Canis lupus familiaris: one gene and its partners. The protein of the gene in region 1 interacts with the protein of each later gene in a biochemical or structural test. Links are inferred from orthologs where the notes say so. Each region holds a gene or a part of one and is shown in the gene's direction. Other genes may lie near its edges.

Region 1 (5,496 bases):
GGAGGGGTTGTGGGAGGGACCCAGACGACCCCATTCAGCCAGTCAGACAGAGGGCAGATAGCTACTGGTTGTGGAGAGAAGCAGGCGAGGGGGCTTAGGAGACCCTCAGATCTTCGGTTCCCTGATGGGAAGTCAAGCTCAGAGTCCTGTGTGGGTAGATTCCACCGCAGAGGGCAGAGACCAGGATGCGTGGAGAACCCCCTGCACACCCTATCAGCACATAGGCTCTCACATACCCTGCAGGGTCAAGGGGCCCAGGAGGGCCAGGCCTCAGGCTGGGAGGGAGAGCGGGGTGGGGTTGTCCAGACCTCCTGCCAACAGTGCTGTCTCAGGGCAACCGGAGGCCAGGGTGCCAATGAGCTCCTCAGCCAAGGCCTTCCCTCTGTCTGGGGCTGAGAACAGCCCCTCTCCAGCAAGGGGCCCCTGGAACATGCTTTCCCCAACTCAAACAAACAACACAACAGGACAGCTTTGTTCTGGGGACATTCTGGCTTGGGGGCCCAGGGGTAGGTCCTCACAGAGGAGCCTCTAGCCTTAGGGCCCTGGCAGCAGCCCTATTTGGAACACCCTGCAGCCCCCCACCCGCCAAATATCTGCCTCCTCTCTCCACTCTACTGTGTCTCACGCTAACAATGCTAAAAGCCCTCTGTTGGTTGGTTTCCCTTCGACCCCATCCTGCATCACCCCTTTTCCGTGGTCCCTTCACCATCCTCGCCATCCGAAACTCCCCTTTCTGCCGCAGCAGCGTGACTCGCCCTACCTTTGGCTGAGCGGGGCCCTAGGTGCTGGGAGAAGAGTCCAGGTCCTGGAGATCAGTCCTAGGACTTCCCAAAAAAAGTGCTCGGCCAGGGGAGACTGGACCCCCCCTTCCTCCCCCCTCTCCTTTTGTCCCTCCCACGTCTCCTTGAGCCCTCCCACATTCCGCCTTCCTCCTCGATTCCTCCCCGGCCAGTTCCCTCCTCTTCTCCTTTTGGTCCTCCCCTCCCCCGTGGAGCTGGCCGCGGCCGCCCCACCTCCCCCCGCCCCCGCCCCCGCCCCTCCTCCCGGCCTGCTCAATGAAGCTTTCTTTTCCCGCGGGCTGGAGGCCGCGCGGCTGCGGTCACGGAGCTGGACACGCAAGAGGCCACGGGGCCGCGGACCGGCCCGGGCGGCGGCCCCTGGGGCGGCGGGAGGCCGCGGCTCAGCTCGGGGCTCCGGGAAGCCTTCCAGTCCCCAGTCCCCAGCCCTTCCCCCACGTCCCGGGCTCCGCGGAGTGTAAACAGCCGGACTCCAGCCGGGCTGGGGGCGGATCCGGTCAGGCGAACTGAGGCGAAGAAGGCCCGCCTCAGCCCTTCGGTGCCCCAGGGTGCCCACTGGCATTTTCGGGGTGACGTCACGGCCTTCACTCTGATGTCACGTTGAGCATATGACATCCTACCCGGCCCGTAAGCCCGGGCGCCAGAGCCCCGTGGCCGAAGCCTCGAGGCTTCCCTTGGCGGAGCACTTGTGCGGGCCTCGGGCCGGTGGGCCGGGGTCTGAAGGTGGCGCGCGGCCCACCCCGTCTACGGACCCCCGCGCCTTCCCTCAGGCTGCTCTGCTCGCTCCCGCTCGGCGGCCCGCGGAGGCCGGGGGAGGGGCGGAACGCCCCGGGAGGCCCGGCCCCGCCCCGCCCCGCCTCTAGCCCGCGGGGCCAGGAAGCGCGGAAGGAACCGCCGGGGGCCATGGACGGGGCCGTGATGGAAGGGCCGCTGTTTTTGCAAAGTCAGCGTTTCGGTACCAAGGTAGCCCGGGGCAGGGGTCGCCGCGCGCCTGCAGACCTAGGAGGGGGCTGTGGAGCCCGCGGGGGCGGCAGCGGGTTGGAGCGCGGGGCGGGAGCTGTAGACCCCGTGACGTTCCCGCGGAGTTGATTTCCCACCCGGGAGAAGCGTCCGCTGGCCTCGGGGTACCCCCCCACCCCCCGGTTCTGGGCGGACGGAGCGGCTTCCTTCTCGGGAAACTGCGCCCCGGTGGGGAAGCTGCAGACCTGCAGTCGGCCTGCGCGGGTCTCCTGTCCCGTCGGGGCCGGGCCGCCGGTGCTCGCCCGCTCCCTCGCCAGCGTCTCTCGCTCTCTCTTCCCAGAGGTGGAGGAAGACCTGGGCTGTGCTCTATCCTGCCAGTCCCCACGGCGTGGCGCGCCTCGAGTTTTTTGACCACAAGGGGTCGAACAATGGAGGGGGCCGAGGGGGCTCGCGCCGCCTGGACTGCAAGGTGATCCGCCTGGCGGAGTGTGTGAGCGTGGTCCCTGTGGCCGTGGACAGCCCCCCCGAGCCTGGCGCCGCGGCTTTCCGCCTGGACACCGCGCAGCGCTCCCACCTGCTGGCGGCCGACGCGCCGTCCAGCGCCGCCTGGGTGCAGACCCTGTGCCGAAACGCCTTTCCGGTGAGGGGGCTGGGGCGAAACGCCGTGGACCCAAGAGGCGACGGGGGTGGGGGCGGTTACAGGAGCCGAGGGCCGCGGCTGGCTCGGACCCCGGGAACAGCGGTGAGGGAATTGCAGGGATCTCGATACTCCCTCTCTTTACCCCAGAAAGGCAGCTGGGCTCTGGCGCCTGCGGAAAACCCACCCAAGCTTTCTGCCCTGGAGATGCTGGAGAACTCGCTGTATAGTCCCACCTGGGAAGGTAGATGCCTGAGAAGCCTGCGGAGGGATGGGGTGGAAAGGACGGGTGCCTTGAGAAGAGAGTGGTTAAAGGGTCAGGGACCCATGGGGAATAGGAAGCCCCTGAAGCTGGTTTCCAAGTGAGTGCTTGGACAACCCGTCCCCACCTCCCCAGCCCTCTCACCCAGCAGTCTGTTGGGTGCCCATCTAATTGTGTATTCTTTACAGGATCCCAGTTCTGGGTAACAGTGCAGAGGACAGAAGCCGCTGAGCGCTGTGGCCTGCATGGCTCCTATGTGCTGAGAGTGGAGGCTGAGAAGCTGACTCTCCTGACCGTCGGGGCGCAGACTCAGATACTGGAGCCACTCCTTTTCTGGCCTTACACTCTGTTGCGCCGCTATGGCCGGGACAAGGTGCAGGGGGCTGTCGGGGAGAATGGGCATCCCAGGTCGGGATAACTGTGGGATGGGTGGGTGGGGTGGGGCAGGACAAGAAGATGGCGAGTTCTGTCCTCCCGGTAACCCTTCCTTGCCTAGCCTGTGACCTCTGCCTGTGCGCCCCCCCCCCCCCCCCCCCCCCCCGCAAATAGTTTTTTCTTTGTAGATCCTCTGTAACTAGGACAAGCCCTGTGACTCATCTCCTCTCCTGGCTCCTGGTAATGTGTTTTCCTCCACACCTTCTTCAGGTCATGTTCTCTTTTGAGGCTGGTCGCCGCTGCCCTTCAGGCCCTGGAACCTTTACCTTCCAGACAGCACAGGGGAATGACATCTTTCAGGCAGTTGAGACTGCTATTCATCGGCAGAAGGTCCAGGGAAAGGAAGGTCAAGGGCAGGAGAGTCTGAAAGCCGACTCCCACGAAGGAGAAGTGGCAGAGGGGACGCTGGCATCCCCGCCTGGCCCTCAGGAGCTCCTGGGCAGCCCTCCTGCCCTGTATGCTGAACCCTTAGACTCTCTGCGCATTCCTCCAGGCCCTTCCCAGGATTCCCTGTACTCAGACCCCTTGGACAGTACTGCTGCTCAGGCAGGGGAGGGAGTACAGTTGAAGAAACCTCTTTATTGGGACTTGTACCAGCACGTGCAGCAGCAGTTGCTGAAGGCCAAGCTGACGGACCCCAAAGAGGACCCCATCTATGATGAACCTGAGGGCTTGGCCCCAGCTGCTCTCCGGGGCCTTTATGATCTGCCTCAGGAGCCCAAGGATGCATGGTGGTGCCAGGCTCGGGTGAAGGAGGAGGGTTATGAGCTCCCCTACAACCCTGCCACTGATGACTACGAGGTGCCACCTCCTCGGAGCACAAAGCCTCTCCCAGGTCCTAAGCCCCGGGGCTTAGCCCTCTCTGAACCTGGAGCTGCAATGGGCAATGGCAGCAAGGGCCACAGCGCAGACACTGCCTTGTACAGCCAGGTCCAGAAGAGCAGTGCCTCAGGAAGCTGGGACTGTGAGCTGTCTAGAGCAGGGGCTAACAGGACTGGAGTCCAGGCAGAAGGCTCCACGTGAGAGGTAGGGTGAGGCGGGGGTTGCTGATAGGACCCCCACAGGGAGGTGGTACTGGGGATCAAAGAAACGTATTAGAGCCTGCAGGAACCAGAGGGCTGGAGGGTCCCCTGTAAGCCAGCCCAGGGGACCAGAGGGATCAGGGGAGTCAGGGGAAGGATGATCAATCTCAAGAAGTCCTGGAAGTGGGACAGATGGCAGAGGTGAAGGATGGGGCCTGAGAGAGACCAGCACCCCCAAGTCATCCTCCCCAAAGGAATGGACAGCTGCTGGACCAGGTCTATGACAATGGGGGCTTTGTCTGGGTTGGTACAGTTTGAGGGGGCTGAATGGAGGCTACAGGGTGATGCTGGACTGTGCCTGGATCGTCACCCCTGTTTTGTTCTTTGCCAGAGACAGATTTTAAGAAGTTTATTCTCATTAAAGTCAGCTTGGGTTTAAAAGGTCTATGTGTGTGAATAGTCACAGATGGGACATGGTGGCAGGGTGTGCTGGGTTGGTGTGGAGGGGTCAGGAGAATGTACTGGGGGCCACATAAAGAGGAAGGAGTCTCAGGGAGGTGAGCTGAGCAGTGTGATTGTTGAGAGCCTCGGTGGTCCAGTGAGGCCCACTTGGGCTTGAGACTGTCTCTGTGATGCTGGGCGAGCTCTAAAACATCTGCAACTCTCATTTGCCCTCGGTGCCCCTCTGTAAAATAGGAAAAACCCAACAACAGACTCTACTTCACAGGGCTATTTGTATGAAAGGAGTTAAGTTTCTCAAGTACTTAATGCAGTCTGAAGCACAAGATTAAGCATTTTATACATGGTAGTTATTCCATGGATGGAGAGGGCCAACAGAAAGGTAGACAGGCATGGACAGAGGGGAACAGGAAGGCAATAGGTCTTTTTCTCAGCTATATGATACCACTTGCCCCAGCACACACACACTTTACCTGTAGGTACTAAGCATCAACCATCTTTCTGTTTGAGGGTTGAAGGGAACTGCTATGTGGTGGGTATACTGGGAGGAGCACAGGCTTTGGAGGCTTAGATTTTGGTCATACTTATTTTTCATGAGCTCTGAAAATCTGATCCTTGTCTCCTGAGGTCTGGTTTTCCCAAGGTGACCTAACCTCATCTACCTGCTTACAGGGAACTACAAGGAGAAATTTGGGGTTAGGAATGCTCCTAACAATGGTAGAGACTTACTGGGTATTTAATCTTCATCTGTGTTAGTGGTATCAAATGATCCAAAAGAAAATGAAAATGAGCTCCTGCCTGGAAAAGGAAAAAGTTCAGGTGTGTCTCTTCCAGGCCTGAGCAGTGGGGCAGTAGTGGCACAGAAGACAGGAGGGGAAGGCTCTGTTTCCCAGTCACCTGGAGGTCACAGAGGCTCAAGTGGAC
Region 2 (5,054 bases), on another chromosome or scaffold:
GTTACTAATTTGCCATTGGTTATAAGGAACAGGAGGAATTAAGTGTGATCCAAAGTCTTCTTGAGGAACTAAGTGGGTGATGGTGCCATTTGCTAACGTGGGGAACACAGGAGCAGGTATAGATACCTGGGTTCTGGTGGGGGACTTGCTGAGTTGAGGTCTGTAGAGAAGAACACCCAGGTGAAGGACACTGCCAGGAATTGGATTAGGCTGTGCTTCGTATGAGAGGGCCAGGCTGCTGACTTAGCCCAGAGGAGAGGGCATCTTTTCCTACTTGGCACTAAGGCTCTTTGTTTGCTGTAGCTCTTGCAGAGGGCACAACTGGGCTGGTGTAGAAATCTGGGAGTCTCCAGGATGGAGGTGACAATTAAAGCTGCACAGGAGGGTGAAGGAAGAGGAGAAGAGTGAGAAAGAAATTGGCCCTAGGACTCAACTTTGGAGAAAGCTGCCTTGAAAGAGAAGTTGCCGTTAGGAAACCAGGCCAAGCCAAGTCAGAACAGCCAAGAGGGTGGAGGAGAGGTTTCAGGAAACAAGAAAGGGAGTGTCAGAGGCTGCCACTGGATTTGGCAATGGGGTGACCTTGGTGAGAGATGTCTCTGTGTGAAGTGGGGGTGGAGGCCAGACAGCAGAGCCTGGGAGGGAGTAGGAGGTGAGGAAGTGAAGACCCAAGTGTGAAGTGCTTTTTCAAGTGAAGAGAAGGTGAGAGATATAACAGAATGTTGATGGCAAGTTAGGGCTTAGAACAGTTTTTTTGGGGGGAAGGAAGAAATGTGGGCATATGTAGAGGTTGGTGGGATGGAGAGGCTGCAGGTGGGGGCTGGTTTGTAGGGGAGAGGTGTCCCTGAGCGAAGGGAAGTGGTTGGGGTCCTGAGCTCAGAGGAGGTGAGGCCTTCATCCAGAGAAAGTGGTAGGAGTCATGGAAAAGAGAAGGGTGATGATGCAGAAGGTGGGAGGTGTGGGAGGTTCATGCTTGTGTCCGCATCTTAGAAGCAGTGTCACGAAGCTCTGAGAGACACTCATTGCAGTGCCATGGTTAAGAGCAGCGTTGTGGTTAAGACTGCAGGCCATTGAGCGACAACTGGTGTTCCTATTCTGGCCAACACAGCTTAAGAGCGTGTGGCCTTGGGCAAGTTGCTTAACCACTAGGTATCTCAATTTCCTCATCTGTCTAATGGAGGTTAATAATAGGACCTACCTCACAACGTTGTTATAAGAACTAAATGAATATAAGGTGTTTTAAAGCAGAGCATGAAAAAAAAAAATAAAGCAGAGCATGACATAAAATAAGTACTGTTATTATTAAATTAATTATTAAGGAGGTAACTACTCCCATGGGTATGGGTGGGGGCACGGCTTTGAAAAAACTTGCGAATGTGTCCTGTCTACATAGGCCTTCTACAGTTCCTCTTTCCCCATCCTGCCTGCCCACCTGGACACTCTACTTGCCAGTACCTTCCTGTCCCCCAAATTATGCCCAGTACCCAGGTGTAAACTGGTTTATTTATTTATTTATTTTAAATATTTTATTTAGTTATTTGAGAGAGAGAGAGTGCACACATGCACACACATGCATGCACACACACACACACACATAAGAGCTAGTGAGGAGGGGGTCGGGTAGCTAGTGGTGAGAAGCAGAGTGAGAGAGGGAGAAACAGACTCCTCACTGAGCAGGAAGTGACACAGGGTTCAAGCTGAGGACCTTCCAGATCATGACCTGAGCTGAAGGCAGCCAGGCGCCCCAGATTGGCCAATTTTGTAATCAAAGGACATCTGAGTCTTCTATGGCACTTGTGGGGCCACTCTGGTTCTCCCAGTGTATTTTCACAGTTGATTTAAGGCTACAGTTCAGTCTTAGGAAAAATATCCAAGACAAAGAAGGAATGCCTGACATCTGAGGTTGAAATCTAGCTTTATAAGAATATCCAAGTTAAAGAGAGTGGAGGAAAACCAGCAGTCAGAGCCAGGCAGGAGCAGTCATGAAGAGGGGAAGAGAAGCAGGAAAGGCTGTTGTTTGGAAGTCATAGGAGGAAAGGATTTGGGGGTAGGGATGGATGGGGAGAAGATTGCCTAGGTGGTGGGAAAAGAACTAGGCTGGGAAGTAAAGCATTTCACGTAGACCTCATCAACCAGTCCTGAGGGAAGGTCACTTCTCCTCTCTGAGCCTCAAGTTCCACATCTGCAAAATGAGCCCTTGGAGGAGTGGTAGTGAGATGCATTCAGAAACTGGTAGCACCCTGATGAGGTCACTAGTGACTGGGGTCCTAGTGATTTTAGTTGAAGGGAAACCCAGAGAGTGGAGAGAAGTCTAACCTTTACTGGGTGGCTACCACAAGCCAAGCATTCCACATTCCTGGTCTCTGTGCACCTCACGGGCCGGGCTGTGAAGCAGGTGTATGAGCCCCATTTCAAGAGTGAGGAAATTGAATCTTGGCTAGTGAGGTGGTTTTTCCCCAGGAGGCTGAGTTGTGGGTTGAACTGGGTGTATCTGGGTGTATCTGACTCTTGCTGGCCCTTCCCAACAGGTGGTACTTTGGAAAGATCGGGAGGAAGGATGCTGAGAGGCAGCTGCTCTCCCCTGGGAACCCCCGGGGGGCCTTTCTTATTCGTGAGAGTGAGACTACCAAAGGTGGGGGCCTGGGAAGGGGCAAATGGGAAGCTCAGCTGTTAGGGTGGGGCTAGGAACAGTGGTGAGGGGCTTGGGTCATGGGGGAGTGGGCAGATGGGACAGGGGTGGAGGTTCAGAGATTTGACTAGGACCGAGTTCAAGGGATGTGGCCATCCAAGTTCTGAGTCCCCAGGCATTTGGGTGTCTCAGGCTCCAAAATGATGAGCGAGGAGGAAAGCAGACTCGAAAACAACCCTTGCCCACAGGTGCCTACTCCCTGTCCATCCGGGATTGGGACCAGACCAGAGGCGACCATGTGAAGCATTACAAAATTCGCAAACTGGACACGGGCGGCTACTACATCACCACACGGGCCCAGTTCCACTCGGTGCAGGAGCTGGTACAGCATTACATGGGTGAGGGCTGGCTTCCAGGGCTGGTGTGTGCTTTGGGTCCCTGAACTAACCCACTAAGAATTAGGGCCAGAGAAGGAAAGGGGTTCCCAAAGCAGTAGTGGCTGGAGCAAAACTGGAAACCAAGGGTTTGGGTTCCCAGCCCAGGATCCTGCTCTGTAGGATTCCAGAGGGAACAGGTGTGAGACTGTCCACGTCAGAAGGGCGCCCCCTAATGTCTAGCTGGGCAGGAAGCCAAATAGACCTGACTTGGAGGATGGGCTGTAGGGTTGAGAGGAAGCTGGGAATCAATGCCCAGGTTTCTGCTTTAGTTATACCAAAGGTGAGGTGCAGGGAAGGGCGAGGGCCTCATGTCCACACCACTGTCTCGAATCCCCAACTCATTTCTACCTGTCAGAATCCCACCTTAACCCTGAAGGCCCAGCTGGAGGCCACCTCCTATGGAGAGGACTCCAAACCCTGCAGGGGATCATCCTTCCTTCCCTGGGCACCAACATGTTCACCTACTCAGTGGGTCAGGTTGCCTTTGGCCCCGGCGTGTGACCTCCCCTGTGGCCTAGTTCCTTTCCACTGATGGGGGAGGGGAGCAGGGGAAGGGCTGCGCCTGGGACAGGATGAGGAATGGGTGGGGCGTCCTGGCCTGCCCACTACCTGCAACAGCCCCCCACCCCCCACCCCCGCCAGAGGTGAACGACGGGCTCTGCCACCTGCTCTCGGTGGCCTGCACCACCATGAAGCCGCAGACAATGGGCCTGGCCAAGGATGCTTGGGAGATTAGCCGCAGCTCCATCGCGCTCGAGCGCCGGCTGGGCACCGGCTGCTTCGGGGACGTGTGGCTGGGTACGGAGGTCCCGGGGGCGGGGCGCGGGCTTGGGACAACCGGGAGCCGGTGCTGACGAACCACGACCACCTGGCAGGCATGTGGAACGGCAGCACGAAGGTGGCGGTGAAGACGCTGAAGCCGGGAACCATGTCCCCGAAGGCCTTCCTGGCGGAGGCGCAGATCATGAAGCTGCTGCGGCACGACAAGCTGGTGCAGCTGTACGCCGTGGTGTCGGAGGAGCCCATCTACATCGTGACCGAGTTCATGTGCCACGGTGAGGGGCGGGGTCAGGAGGCGGAGTCCGGGGGTGTTCAGAGAGGTGTCTCTGGGGGAGGGACCCGAGTGGCGATCTGTGATGGGACAGGGGACTTTGGGCAGAGTCCGAGAGTGAGGCCGGGGTGAGGGAAACCACGTGAGTCCTGAGAGTGGAGGCGGGCCCATATTTAGACCGGGCTAGGGGCCGGGGCTGGGGGCGGAGCCTCGGTCGCTGGGGGCGGGGTGGTCAGTTGGTGGGTGGGGTTTGGGGGAGCGGAGACCGAATCTGGGATGAGGGAGGATCTGGGGCGGAGTCTGAGTGGGGCGTGTCTAGGGGGACGGAGGCAGGGAAGAAACGAGCTGTGGGCTGAGTCTGGGTGTCTGTGGGAGCGGGTCCTGGGCGAGATCTGTGAGGGTCTGAGGCAGCTGGCTGGATCCCGAGTGGGGGCGGGTCTAAGGGAGAGGGCTGGGGCCAGGGGGCGGGGCCAAGCTGGGTGAGAAGGAACCTGGCTGGGGGCGGGGCCAAGCGAGGGAAGGCTGGCTTGGAGCTGGGGGTAGTCTTGCCGCTGATTTTCTGAGTTCCTTTCCTCAGGTAGCTTGCTGGAGTTCCTCAAGGACCGGAAAGGCCAGGATTTGACACTGCCCCAGTTGGTGGATATGGCAGCCCAGGTAAACTGGGACAGCAGCCTTTATCTCAGACTGCCCTCCTATTAACCTCCGGAAACCCCTGTGCCCTTAAACACTTGCCCCTGGAAGTACAGTCCCATCCACTGGATCATCTGTGCTACCTGAGGCAGGGCAATGCTCCTCTCTGAGCTTCAGTCTCCTCATCTGGAAAGTGGGGTTTTCAAGTGACCTCATGTACAAGCCATGGTGTTCCCATCTGTCCATACCTTGGCCCCCCCCCCCCCCCCAGGTAGCTGAGGGCATGGCCTACATGGAACGTATGAACTAC
Region 3 (5,054 bases), on another chromosome or scaffold:
TGCCACATTGGAAGCATTAGAACCAGGATTCAAACTGGGTGCACTGTGTGGGACTAACCACCCCCACACACAACTGGGGTCCCTACTGGAGCCACCTGGCCCTACCCTGCCCCCTGCCGCTACCCAGCCATGCAGGGTTTAATCCCCAGAATGTGCAACAGTGCATGCCCTGCACCATACCTACTGTTCTATGAGGCTTTCTGCTATCTTTACTGATCTTGTTTGGATTTCCAATTTGGGTCTGACACCACAAGAAATTCCAAAGCAAAGACCTAATAAAAGCAGACATGTTTAAAGTTTTTAAAAATGGTTGGTGGAACCCCCTAACCTTTTCCAGGATATAGGGACAACATTCTGTGCCTGAGTCCCTACTCTCTTCAAGGTACCCCCACAAGATTCCCACCCCCCAAGCCAGGTTAGGCCTCACCAGCTCCCCACAAGAATCCTAGTGTCATTAATATCTCTTTCTGGGCAGATCATTATGCTCCCCAGTTCCTAGACGTAGTAATGTTTGAGCTGAGCAAATGAAAGCAGGAGACCTTAACATTTGGAGTAGTATCTAAAATCCCTATTGGTATGGGCGCACAGAGATTTGTCCGCAAGAATATACACATCAAGAGACATTTATATTCCATATAACATAGTATGGGTTCATTGAGAACATTTGAACACTGAAGATTTATGCTTTAGAGGCTGCTATTGAGGGACAAATATATAAACTAAAAACAAATGCCTTTACATTCTGTGTCAGGCTCTTTTGTTTAAAGTAAGTTAGTTATGGATACACAAGAAACTTTGCTTCTTGGGGCACCTGGGTGGCCCAGTTGGTTAAGCTTCTGCCTTCAGCTCAGGTCATGATCCCAAGGTCCTGGGATGGAGCCCTGCATTGGGCTCCCTGGTCAGTGAGGAGTCTGCTTCTTCCTCTTCCTCCCCTGCTACTCATGCTCTCCATCTCTCTGTCTCAAATTAATTAATGAATTAATTAATTAAAAAAAGAAAGAAAAGAAAAGAAACTTGGCTACTCGCAAGGGGAATGCCCAAAAGGGAAACAGGGAGGGAGGCACCTATTTTCAGTATAACATGTGTACCGTCTCTGTTTTGCACTATGTGTATGCATTAGTTACTCAAAGGAAATAATTAAAATTTTCCCCAAAAGAGGAAAGTATGAAGGCCACATGCCCATGACCTTTTTGTTTCATCTCAGAGGCCCAAGTAAGACATGTGTTCTCCTGTAGGTGCCAAATTCCCCATTAAGTGGACAGCTCCAGAAGCAATCAACTTTGGATGTTTCACCATTAAGTCTGATGTGTGGTCCTTTGGCATTCTCCTGTATGAAATCGTCACCTATGGGAAGATTCCTTACCCAGGTATCATTCACTTACTTGTTTCCATTCCAGTGGTCTGTATGAGAAAAAAAAAAAAAAAAAAGCCACATGGCTTTTACAGGAGGCATAAAAAATAAACCCATCTCCAAAGGCTAAGAATAAGCACTTTGTTCTAGATGACGGTCTTCGGTGGGAGTTGTTCTAAAAATGCTTAGACATTTCTCTGCCTTCTTATTTGATTGAATGCGGATTCTTCCCCGTGCCTCCCACCACCAATGGATTCCATCACTTGGTGCTGAGAAGGGGCCCAACACCCCCACAGGTATTGCAGATGGGACAATGGATTAGAAGGTGAGACATGGTGCTCCTCCTAAGCAGAACACCTGGTAGAGGAGGAAACAGACACAGAAATGAGAGTTTACAGTGCTTTCTGGTTAGTTTTGAAGTGGAGATTTGTATAAAGTATTTTGGAACCTCTGCCTCTTCGGGAAATAACCACGTCTGTTTATTAGTGAAAGGTCATTCCAATCCATAACTTCCCCAATGCAAAGACATCCATTCAGTGTCTCTAGAGTCCTAACACCCAAAGCACTTGGAGTCAGACTGTGCCAGAAACCCCCTCTTCCCAGGATCTGTGCCCAAATATGCAAGAAGCATTTCTCCCAAAGCCTTCACAGTAGTTGTTAGGCTTTTTACATTAGTGCTTTGTACAAAATCAATGGGTATGATGAATTTAAGATTAAATCTTTAATGTTTAAATCATTCCTTCATTTGAAAAATACCTGAGAGTGCTGGCCTCGAGATGCCCAGATGCAGCAGTGAGAGCTCCTGCCTTTGAGAGCTAATATTCTAGTAGGAAGAGACTGGTTAAAGTCGGATAGACAACAACTATCAGATGGAGCAGGTGCACTATGATTGAAAGATGAGCGTGGAGGAGGAGGAGGATGGATGCTGGTTTGACACTATGACCTTTGTAGCAGCAGATTGGAAGAGGGAGCCACAGGGCTGTCTAGGAGGGCTGAGCATCCCACAGAGGTGACAGTCACCATATGGGATCCTGAGGCCCAGTGGTTTGGGTGTCGGTATTTGCTAGATGAATGAATCACGGGTTTAAGCCATTTAACATCTTGATAGACACCATGCTGTGGATGAGAAAAACTTGGGGACAGAGCAGCAATGTGGCCTTCGTGCTCCTGATCTCCCTCAGTGCTGTCTAGGGATGAACCATAGAGAAATCAGGGACCCAGAGGCCAGCGGGGAGGGGAGAGCCTTCGGGTGGTGCCGCACAGTGGGCTGACTGTGCCATGAAATCCCCCTTGAGCCAAAATTTCATATTCTGACTGCCACTCTGCTCTAGATGCTGAAATGAACAGAAACATTACTGTAAAACAAGGAAAAAGAAATATTTTCTTGATCAATCCTGATATCTGACATTATGTATCTTTATCTATAATCTACATCTATTTACAGAGAAATTCTGTATCTTCAGATTATGCATATAATCTGATATCTGATCAAATAAACATTTAACTTCATAAAATGATATGTGATATGTTTGACAGGCTCCATAATGACACACAGACAATGCCCATAAGGCTCAGAGAAGGAGCCTTTTGCCTGGAACTGAATTACTAGCTCCCGGCAGAGCTGCTTCTGAACCCCAGGCCTCACAAAACCCTTGTTTTCATCTGCTATGCTCAATGTCCAGGATTTTAAAATAAATATTTAGGGTAAAAAAAATCTTTTAAAAAAGCAGTAGAAAAATGGTATTAATTAATTAATTAATTAATTAATTAATTAAAAAATACAGTACGACCAACCAAACAGTACTGACTGATCCACTTCCCAGGTAGCCTGTCCCCTGTAAGGACAGGAGATACAAGATACTGTCAGGAGCTCTGGATGGTTGAGGTAGTCTAGTCGCAAGAGTTGTACATCATGAGAGCCTCTAGCTTAGGAGTTGTGAACAGAACTGAACAATCTTATTGATGTAAATATCAGAGGACTTGATTCACACAGGTAGCACAGAAATCAGTGAATGTTGCCAACACGGACCATTTCCATCACGGTTATGAAACTGCTTGTCGGAGAGACCGCACCGATAATTGAGTTATCCGGGCATATTTTCTTTACCCAGAAGAGTGCTAGATACATTAAGCTTTGGGTTTTTTTTTTTTTAAGCAATTTAGAGACTATACACCTAGCTTTGCAAAATAATGGGAATAAGAGAAAGGAGGAGACAAAACAAAGAAAAACTAAGGAAGTCAGATATAAAGTGAAAACATGTTTTTTAAAAGAAATATAAAGCTAAAGATGAAATATACCAAAATGTTAACTATCCTTGGGCAATGAAATGGTAGGTTATATTAATTTTATTTTTAAATAAATAAAATCTTTAAAAAATTTATTTTTGATAAGCTTCTGAAGTTTCCATTTCTTTTCTCATTTTTAAAAATTATGTCTTCATTAAATATTTCAGTTGTTTAAGTGATATATGGTGTATCAAAAAAATCAGGTGGTACAAAAAGACTTCTAATGAAAAATTGCCTCCCTGGCCTCATGCTCCTCAAAGGCATTGACTTTCAGGAATTTTTGTTATATTCTCATATTCATTGCTCAGAATTAAAAATATTATACTCATACTATTATCTCTTAAGTAAGAAGTTTTCCCTGTTTTGTTTATCATTAAGTAAGAGTACAGCCACATGGTTCTAAATTCAAAAGATACAAAGAAGTATAGGTGGAAGTGGTGTGCCTTTTGTTCCTCATCTCCAGCCAACTGTCCTTCTCCTTGTCCCCATTGGAATCATTGTTATCAATTTCTGGTGAATTGGACAGAGACATTCTAGAAACATCCGGAGATATGATTAGAGGTGTATCAAATACACATGTTGGCTGGGTGCCAAAACTGATATCACCAACAGAGAACAAACTTTTGGGAATGAGAGAGTAAAATATACAATTTTGCCAGCAGAAGCTACTTAATCAAAATTCTAGTAGTCAGATGCTAAATGCAGGGCAGTAGAAGGTAGGAGTGTCATTTTCTCTTTGCAGTGTCTGTGTTGAAATAGATTCATTGAGCGGACACATCTAACTTCTGTGCACACCAAATGTAATTCAGTAAAAGTCTTTTTCTTAACACTCTTTTTAGAAAAAGGCCTTGCACTCATCAGTTGTATTTTGGGCCAATCCCCCAAACCTTTTGTCTTCGACTACTGTTAGTCCATTTCAACAAGTTTCTATTGTTTTAACATTTTTAGCCCCCCTAGGCTCCAAGCTATGAGGAATCCTTTTCTCCAAGCCTTCTCCTTAGCATTTATAAATTTGCTTGTTCTCATTGATGAGTGAGCACTGGATTCGTAGACAGTTTATCATGATGTTGCTGTACATGACTTCGGAGTTGGTCCTCATGAAAATTTGAGGCATCAGAGTTAATATTCTGCTTCTAATTCACACTTAGGACTTTTCCCAAATAGGACTTTTTTCTTGAGACACCCATTACCTAGATAAAATTTAATCGCTAAATAAGTACTATTATCAAATTTGCTTATGTTATGAATGCTAGTACCTGAAGCTTTCACCTAGAATTATAAAGTCCTCCACTTGTTGTGGCTTCTTACGTGGCTTGGCCAAAGTGGATGGCTTCTGAATCCTGTCCTGTGTCTTGGAACTCGTTTCTTCTGTGGAAGAACTCAGGATCTCTCTTTATCCCTGAAATTTCATTGGTCT
Region 4 (5,054 bases), on another chromosome or scaffold:
TTCTCAGTATATTTGGAGAATCACAAGTAAAATGGTAGAATAAAAAATGGAGAGCAGAGAGGTAGAAAATTCAGAGCAGTCAGTCTGCGATCACGAGGGGAAGTTGTGAAGATAGACCATTAAACGCAGTGAGTGTCTCGGTGAGAAGAGGCTGAAAGTGGAAGGTTGAGTGGTCCTAGGCACAGGTAGGCCATGCTGCCTTTACACTCTGCAAGGTGGCAAGAACACAGATGACCAGCACTGGATGCTCCTTGGTTTTTACCTCTGCTTTGTGATAAACCAGCACTTTGTGATGATGGAGAGGTTCAGACTCTTAGATCTGTTGTGTCAGCCTGCCTTGCCTTATAGAACGTTAGTGTACATTGGGGATCAAGAGTAATAATAACAACTCTGAAGAAGCTCTGCAAGTAAAAACCTCTGTGAAAAAGGGTCCCTGACTCATGGTGTCCATTGAATTGAAAAAACAAAACAAAGCAAAACAGGCCTGGGGGTGCCTGGATGGTTCAGTGGGTTGGGCATCTGCCTCCACCTCTCGTCATGATCCTGGAGTCCTGGGATCAGGCCCCACATCAAGCTCTCTGCCCAGCGGGGAGTCTTTTCTCCTGCCTCTCACTCTGCTCGTGTGCTCTCTATCTCATAAATAAAATCTTGGGGCAACATGTCTGTAAACCCCCCCTATAAATTTCTTGATGCTGTCTTAGAAATGGCTGATCTTGGGTTGCCTGGGTGGTGCAGTTGGTTAAGCGTTCAACTCTTGGTTTCAGCTGAGGTCATGATCTTAGAGTTGGGAGATCAAGCCCCATGTCAGGCTCTGTGCTCAGTCAGCTTCATTTTCTCTCCCTTTCCCTCACTGCTCACTGTCGCTGGTGCCCCCACCCCCACCCCCACCCCGGCCAATGGATAAATAAAATCTTAAAAAGAAAGGGCTGATCTTCTGTTTGGACCATGGTCTAAATAGGTGTTGGAGTCTAGAGTTTAGGTCTCTGTTAATTGAAGTTTTCCTCATTTTATGCACCTTACCTTTTTTTTTTTTTTTTTGGTTTGGTTTGGTTTTTGAGGATTTGTTTATTTTAAAGACATTCATTTATTATTTTTTTAATTTTTATTTATTTATGATAGTCACAGAGAGAGAGGCAGAGACATAGGCAGAGGGAGAAGCAGGCTCCATGCACTGGGAGCCCGATGTGGGACTCGATCCCAGGTCTCCAGGATCGTGCCCTGGGCCAAAGGCAGGCGCCAAACCACTGCGCCACCCAGGGATCCCAAGACATTCGTTTATTTGAGAGAGAGAGAGCGTGCACTAGCAGAGGGAGAGGGAGAAGCAGACACCCCACAAGCAGGGAGCCCAATGCAGGGCTCGATCCCAGGACCCTGGGTTCATGACCTGAGCTGAAACCAAGAGTCAGACCCCCAAACAGCTGAGCCACCCAGGCATCCCTTTTGTTTTAGCTTTTTGTTTCTTGTTTTGTTCTGTTTTATAGATACCTATGTTTAAACAACCACATTACTGGATTTTAGTGTTTCTGCTTGAGTCTTAGCCATCTCATAAACTAATCCAAATGACTTTCATATTTGCCTCAGAAAACATACCTCCTTTTCCTCAGAGGGCATTGACCTCCCTGGTAACCAAGAGAGGCGATGGGGCTGGGCCCAACACCTCTGAGCTTCAGGGGGTTGGAGCAGGGATGGGGCAGGAGGAAGGAGGTCGGCCTTCACACGAATGGCAGCAAAGCCATTCTGGCACAATTCACATGAAGTGTGCCAGCAGAGCTGTGTGCCGGTGGACTTCTAAAGCTGCATTGTCCCCTCTGGAATCCAGGCTAGTAGTCAAGCTTGCTGGACCATAGTTTTAGCAGAAGACCCTTTTTTCCCAATGAAATTTTCAAAGTTAAAAAAAAAATTTAAAGTTGAGATTTCTAAGAATTTGCTAAAAAGCCAGGACAGGGGGATCCCTGGGTGGCGCAGCGGTTTGGCGCCTGCCTTTGGCCCAGGGCGCGATCCTGGAGACCCGGGATCGAACCCCACGTCGGGCTCCCGGTGCATGGAGCCTGCTTCTCCCTCTGCCTGTGTCTCTGCCTCTCTCTCTCTCTCTTGTGACTATCATAAATAAATAAAAATTAAAAATAAAAAAAAATAAAAAGTCAGGACAGTTAACTGTTAAAATGGGCAGGAAAAATTGGAAATAATATGAATGATAGATGCAGTCTGATATCCACTTCAGCACCCAGGTTATTTCTGAATGTGTGTTGTTGGAGCAGTGATAGGAATCTTTTAACCTTTACCTTGTCATTTGGGGGGAGTCTTCAAATACATGATGAAAGCAGTTTAATTCCAAGAGAGATCTGCATGAAAAGCAGGTAGCAGGCAGCACAGGTTAGTTTAGCAGTGGTGCATTTCAGTATACTTTTTTCTATTATAACTTTATAAATAAAGGTTTAAAAAGTTGAAAGCCCAGACACTTGTTGGGCCCTTAAAATACCTCCCTAGAGTTCTGTGGGTCTCCAGAACAATTTGAAAACCACTTCCAAAACAAAATTCCTGCCTTCTCCTTAATGAGTGGGGCAGTCCCTAACTGGTGCCTGTCCTCTCACAATAGATAGAATTCCCCCCACCCTGAAGTTTAAAGTAGGCTGAAAAAGATAGATGCCCAGAGTTGGGCTTCCTTTCCCTGTGATGGCCCCACAGAGGAGCAGGCAATGGACAAATCAGGGAGACATTATTGCTGCCTGGGGCAGGAGAGGGGGGGGTGGCTTGGTAACTGAGGTCTTGTTGGTGACAGCATTTCCACCCCATGTATATTAGGGTGGAGATAGATTTTTTTTTTAATACCCTTTTTTTGTGTGTGATTTCACTTCAACCATCCTGAGAGTAGTTAAGTGTTCATTTCTTTCCTGTTGGGAGTTAATAACTGACATAGGGAGAAAAGTTGCTTTTATGCTCAGAAGGTCCTTCACTTTTTTTTTTTTTTTTTTTTCTTTTTTTTTTTTTTTTTTTTTTTTTTTTAGAAGGTCCTTCACTTAATACACATTCTCACCAGCTGAGGAGGACAGCACGCTTATGGTAGCACCTTGTGTCTTTGTTTTTGTTTTTGTTTAAGATTTTTATTTATTCATCAGAGACACAGAGAGAAAGAGGCAGAGACAGAAGCAGAGGGAGAAGCAGGCTCCCTCTGGGGAGCCTGATGCCGAACTCGATCCCAGGACCCCAGGATCACAGTCTGAGCTGATGGCAGATTCTCAACCACTGACCACCCAGGTCCCCCCACATTGTGTCTTTGGCACTGCTTGATTTTAGGTTTATGCACCCCCCCAAAAAAAAAAACTTTAAAAATTCTATAGGTTCCTTTGGATAGAACAGTATATATGGGTTAAACTTTTTTTTTTTTTTTTTTTTTAGTTTGCAGAGAAAATGCTGACTGTGTCTTCTTTCTCCATCCTTACAGGTTGGTGACATTGTGAAAGTCACAAGGATGAATATAAATGGCCAATGGGAAGGCGAAGTGAATGGGCGCAAAGGGCTTTTCCCCTTTACGCATGTCAAAATCATTGACCCTCAAAACCCTGATGAAAACGAGTGATTGCTGTTGCCTGTTTCCTGCTGCTTCCTTGTTCTGCCTGTCATAGTCTCCTTTGAAGTGGGAAAGCATTCTCTCTCATAGGCAAGTTACACTGCATTGCCGATGTCCAGCTTTCTGCAGAGTGGCGGTCTCTCATACACATTTGGAATGCACAGTGGCTGCCTCGGCATTTGTATCATAGTCGTATTGTCAAAGAGTAGCAGATATTAGAGTTCTTTTGGATCATAAACTGGATATACTGGTGGAAGCACACAAGTGGAGAGAAGTTGATGAGGAAAGGGTCGGTCTTCTCGTCACTGCCCTGTTTGTACTTGTGACTGATTTCTGTCATGTTCATCAGATGGAGCTTGAGGCCATGGTGAGACATTGCACGTTGCTGTTCCACAAAGCAATGGTTCAGTCGCCGTTTTGTTTTTCCTTTGAAGAACAGAGCAAATGGACCTTAAAGAAGAGGGAATTCTGTCCTAAACTCCCCAAATCTGGCTCTTTTTTCCTTTTCGTTTGGTTTTGGAAGACTTAATTAGACTTGTGTGTTCTGAACAGGTTTTTAAGTAGCAGGTTGGATTTTTGTGATATTGTAAGGAATGACACGTGCCTCTGAGCTTCCCAAACTGAAGCTGCTGTAACTAAAGGAATATGGAAAAACAAAACAAAACACAACCCTGAAGCAGAGGCCTTTATTGTCTTGGCTGCCAGTTGTACCTGTTTTGCCGTGTAGTAAACAACCCACAAAAGTCAGTTGTAATGTGCCAAGCTTGTGTGCCTGGCTCCTTGGATTACATTTTCCCCAAAAGCACCAGAGTAGGGGGTGATTTGGGGAAGACTTTGCTTACTTTGTCAGTGATGACAGGAACAATGGGGGAAAGCACTTGGCTAGTTTTCTGTCCAGTGTTTCAGTGAATACACCCCTTTAAGGTATAGGAATTAAATTTCTTTAAAAAGTGAGGTTGTTCATAGAATCATTGACTTCATTAATGAATCTAAATTCTACTCACTGAGGCTCACTCCTCGCTGCTGCAGGCCAAGCTCACAAAGCTGCCAGAGAAAGATGGTGCTGCTAATACTGGTTCCCCAGTCTCTGTGTCTGAGATGCTCCCAGGCAAAGAAAGTTCAAGTTCTGGAAATTGGTTAATGCATCTGATGTCTAAGATTTTAGTGACTTGGGAGAACCATTAGCGATTTAGCAATTTGATGTAAACATTTCCTTGTTAGCTAAAAGAGGGCTATTCACACAAGCCAGCTGGGTACAAAGGTGTGGCTGATTCGTTGTCTGGTGTACATAGCAGACTAGGATTCTGGAACCTTCATGCAGTTCAGTCTGCTCTCCCTTCTGGAAACTGATGAAGACATGCCTCAGCTCAGAATGAATACAGCAGACCTGGAAATGTAGCAGCCACCTACTGAGTGAGTGACTGCATCATTTGCTGAGCGGCTGCTATAGCCCTGGCCCTGTCTCCTAACGGTCTTAGGTTTTGAA

The links. The genes of interacting proteins can lie anywhere in the genome.
Region 2: the proteins of DOK1 (region 1) and FGR form a complex in vitro, tested with the Homo sapiens proteins (2 studies listed by BioGRID, with this or other methods). The link is inferred for Canis lupus familiaris from reciprocal best matches to the Homo sapiens genes DOK1 and FGR.
Region 3: of the proteins of DOK1 (region 1) and LYN, one has a biochemical effect on the other in vitro, tested with the Homo sapiens proteins (2 studies listed by BioGRID, with this or other methods). The link is inferred for Canis lupus familiaris from reciprocal best matches to the Homo sapiens genes DOK1 and LYN.
Region 4: the proteins of DOK1 (region 1) and CRKL form a complex in vitro, tested with the Homo sapiens proteins (2 studies listed by BioGRID, with this or other methods). The link is inferred for Canis lupus familiaris from reciprocal best matches to the Homo sapiens genes DOK1 and CRKL.

What each region holds. Positions count from the first base shown.
Region 1 is NC_049238.1:49,088,641-49,094,136, reverse strand, and holds DOK1 (docking protein 1), read left to right. Parts: upstream 1-1,599; 5' UTR 1,600-1,700; coding exon 1,701-1,760; intron 1,761-2,002; exon of another isoform or gene 2,003-2,097; coding exon 2,098-2,397; intron 2,398-2,544; coding exon 2,545-2,638; intron 2,639-2,844; coding exon 2,845-3,029; intron 3,030-3,301; coding exon 3,302-4,114; 3' UTR 4,115-4,558; downstream 4,559-5,496. UniProt on the Homo sapiens protein: DOK proteins are enzymatically inert adaptor or scaffolding proteins. They provide a docking platform for the assembly of multimolecular signaling complexes. DOK1 appears to be a negative regulator of the insulin signaling pathway.
Region 2 is NC_049223.1:72,079,559-72,084,612, forward strand, and holds part of FGR (tyrosine-protein kinase Fgr), read left to right. Parts: intron 1-2,525; coding exon 2,526-2,629; intron 2,630-2,874; coding exon 2,875-3,024; intron 3,025-3,705; coding exon 3,706-3,861; intron 3,862-3,938; coding exon 3,939-4,118; intron 4,119-4,691; coding exon 4,692-4,768; intron 4,769-5,015; coding exon 5,016-5,054. UniProt on the Homo sapiens protein: Non-receptor tyrosine-protein kinase that transmits signals from cell surface receptors devoid of kinase activity and contributes to the regulation of immune responses, including neutrophil, monocyte, macrophage and mast cell functions, cytoskeleton remodeling in response to extracellular stimuli, phagocytosis, cell adhesion and migration.
Region 3 is NC_049250.1:7,934,775-7,939,828, forward strand, and holds part of LYN (tyrosine-protein kinase Lyn), read left to right. Parts: intron 1-1,235; coding exon 1,236-1,367; intron 1,368-5,054. UniProt on the Homo sapiens protein: Non-receptor tyrosine-protein kinase that transmits signals from cell surface receptors and plays an important role in the regulation of innate and adaptive immune responses, hematopoiesis, responses to growth factors and cytokines, integrin signaling, but also responses to DNA damage and genotoxic agents.
Region 4 is NC_049247.1:30,710,957-30,716,010, reverse strand, and holds part of CRKL (crk-like protein), read left to right. Parts: intron 1-3,442; coding exon 3,443-3,577; 3' UTR 3,578-5,054. UniProt on the Homo sapiens protein: May mediate the transduction of intracellular signals.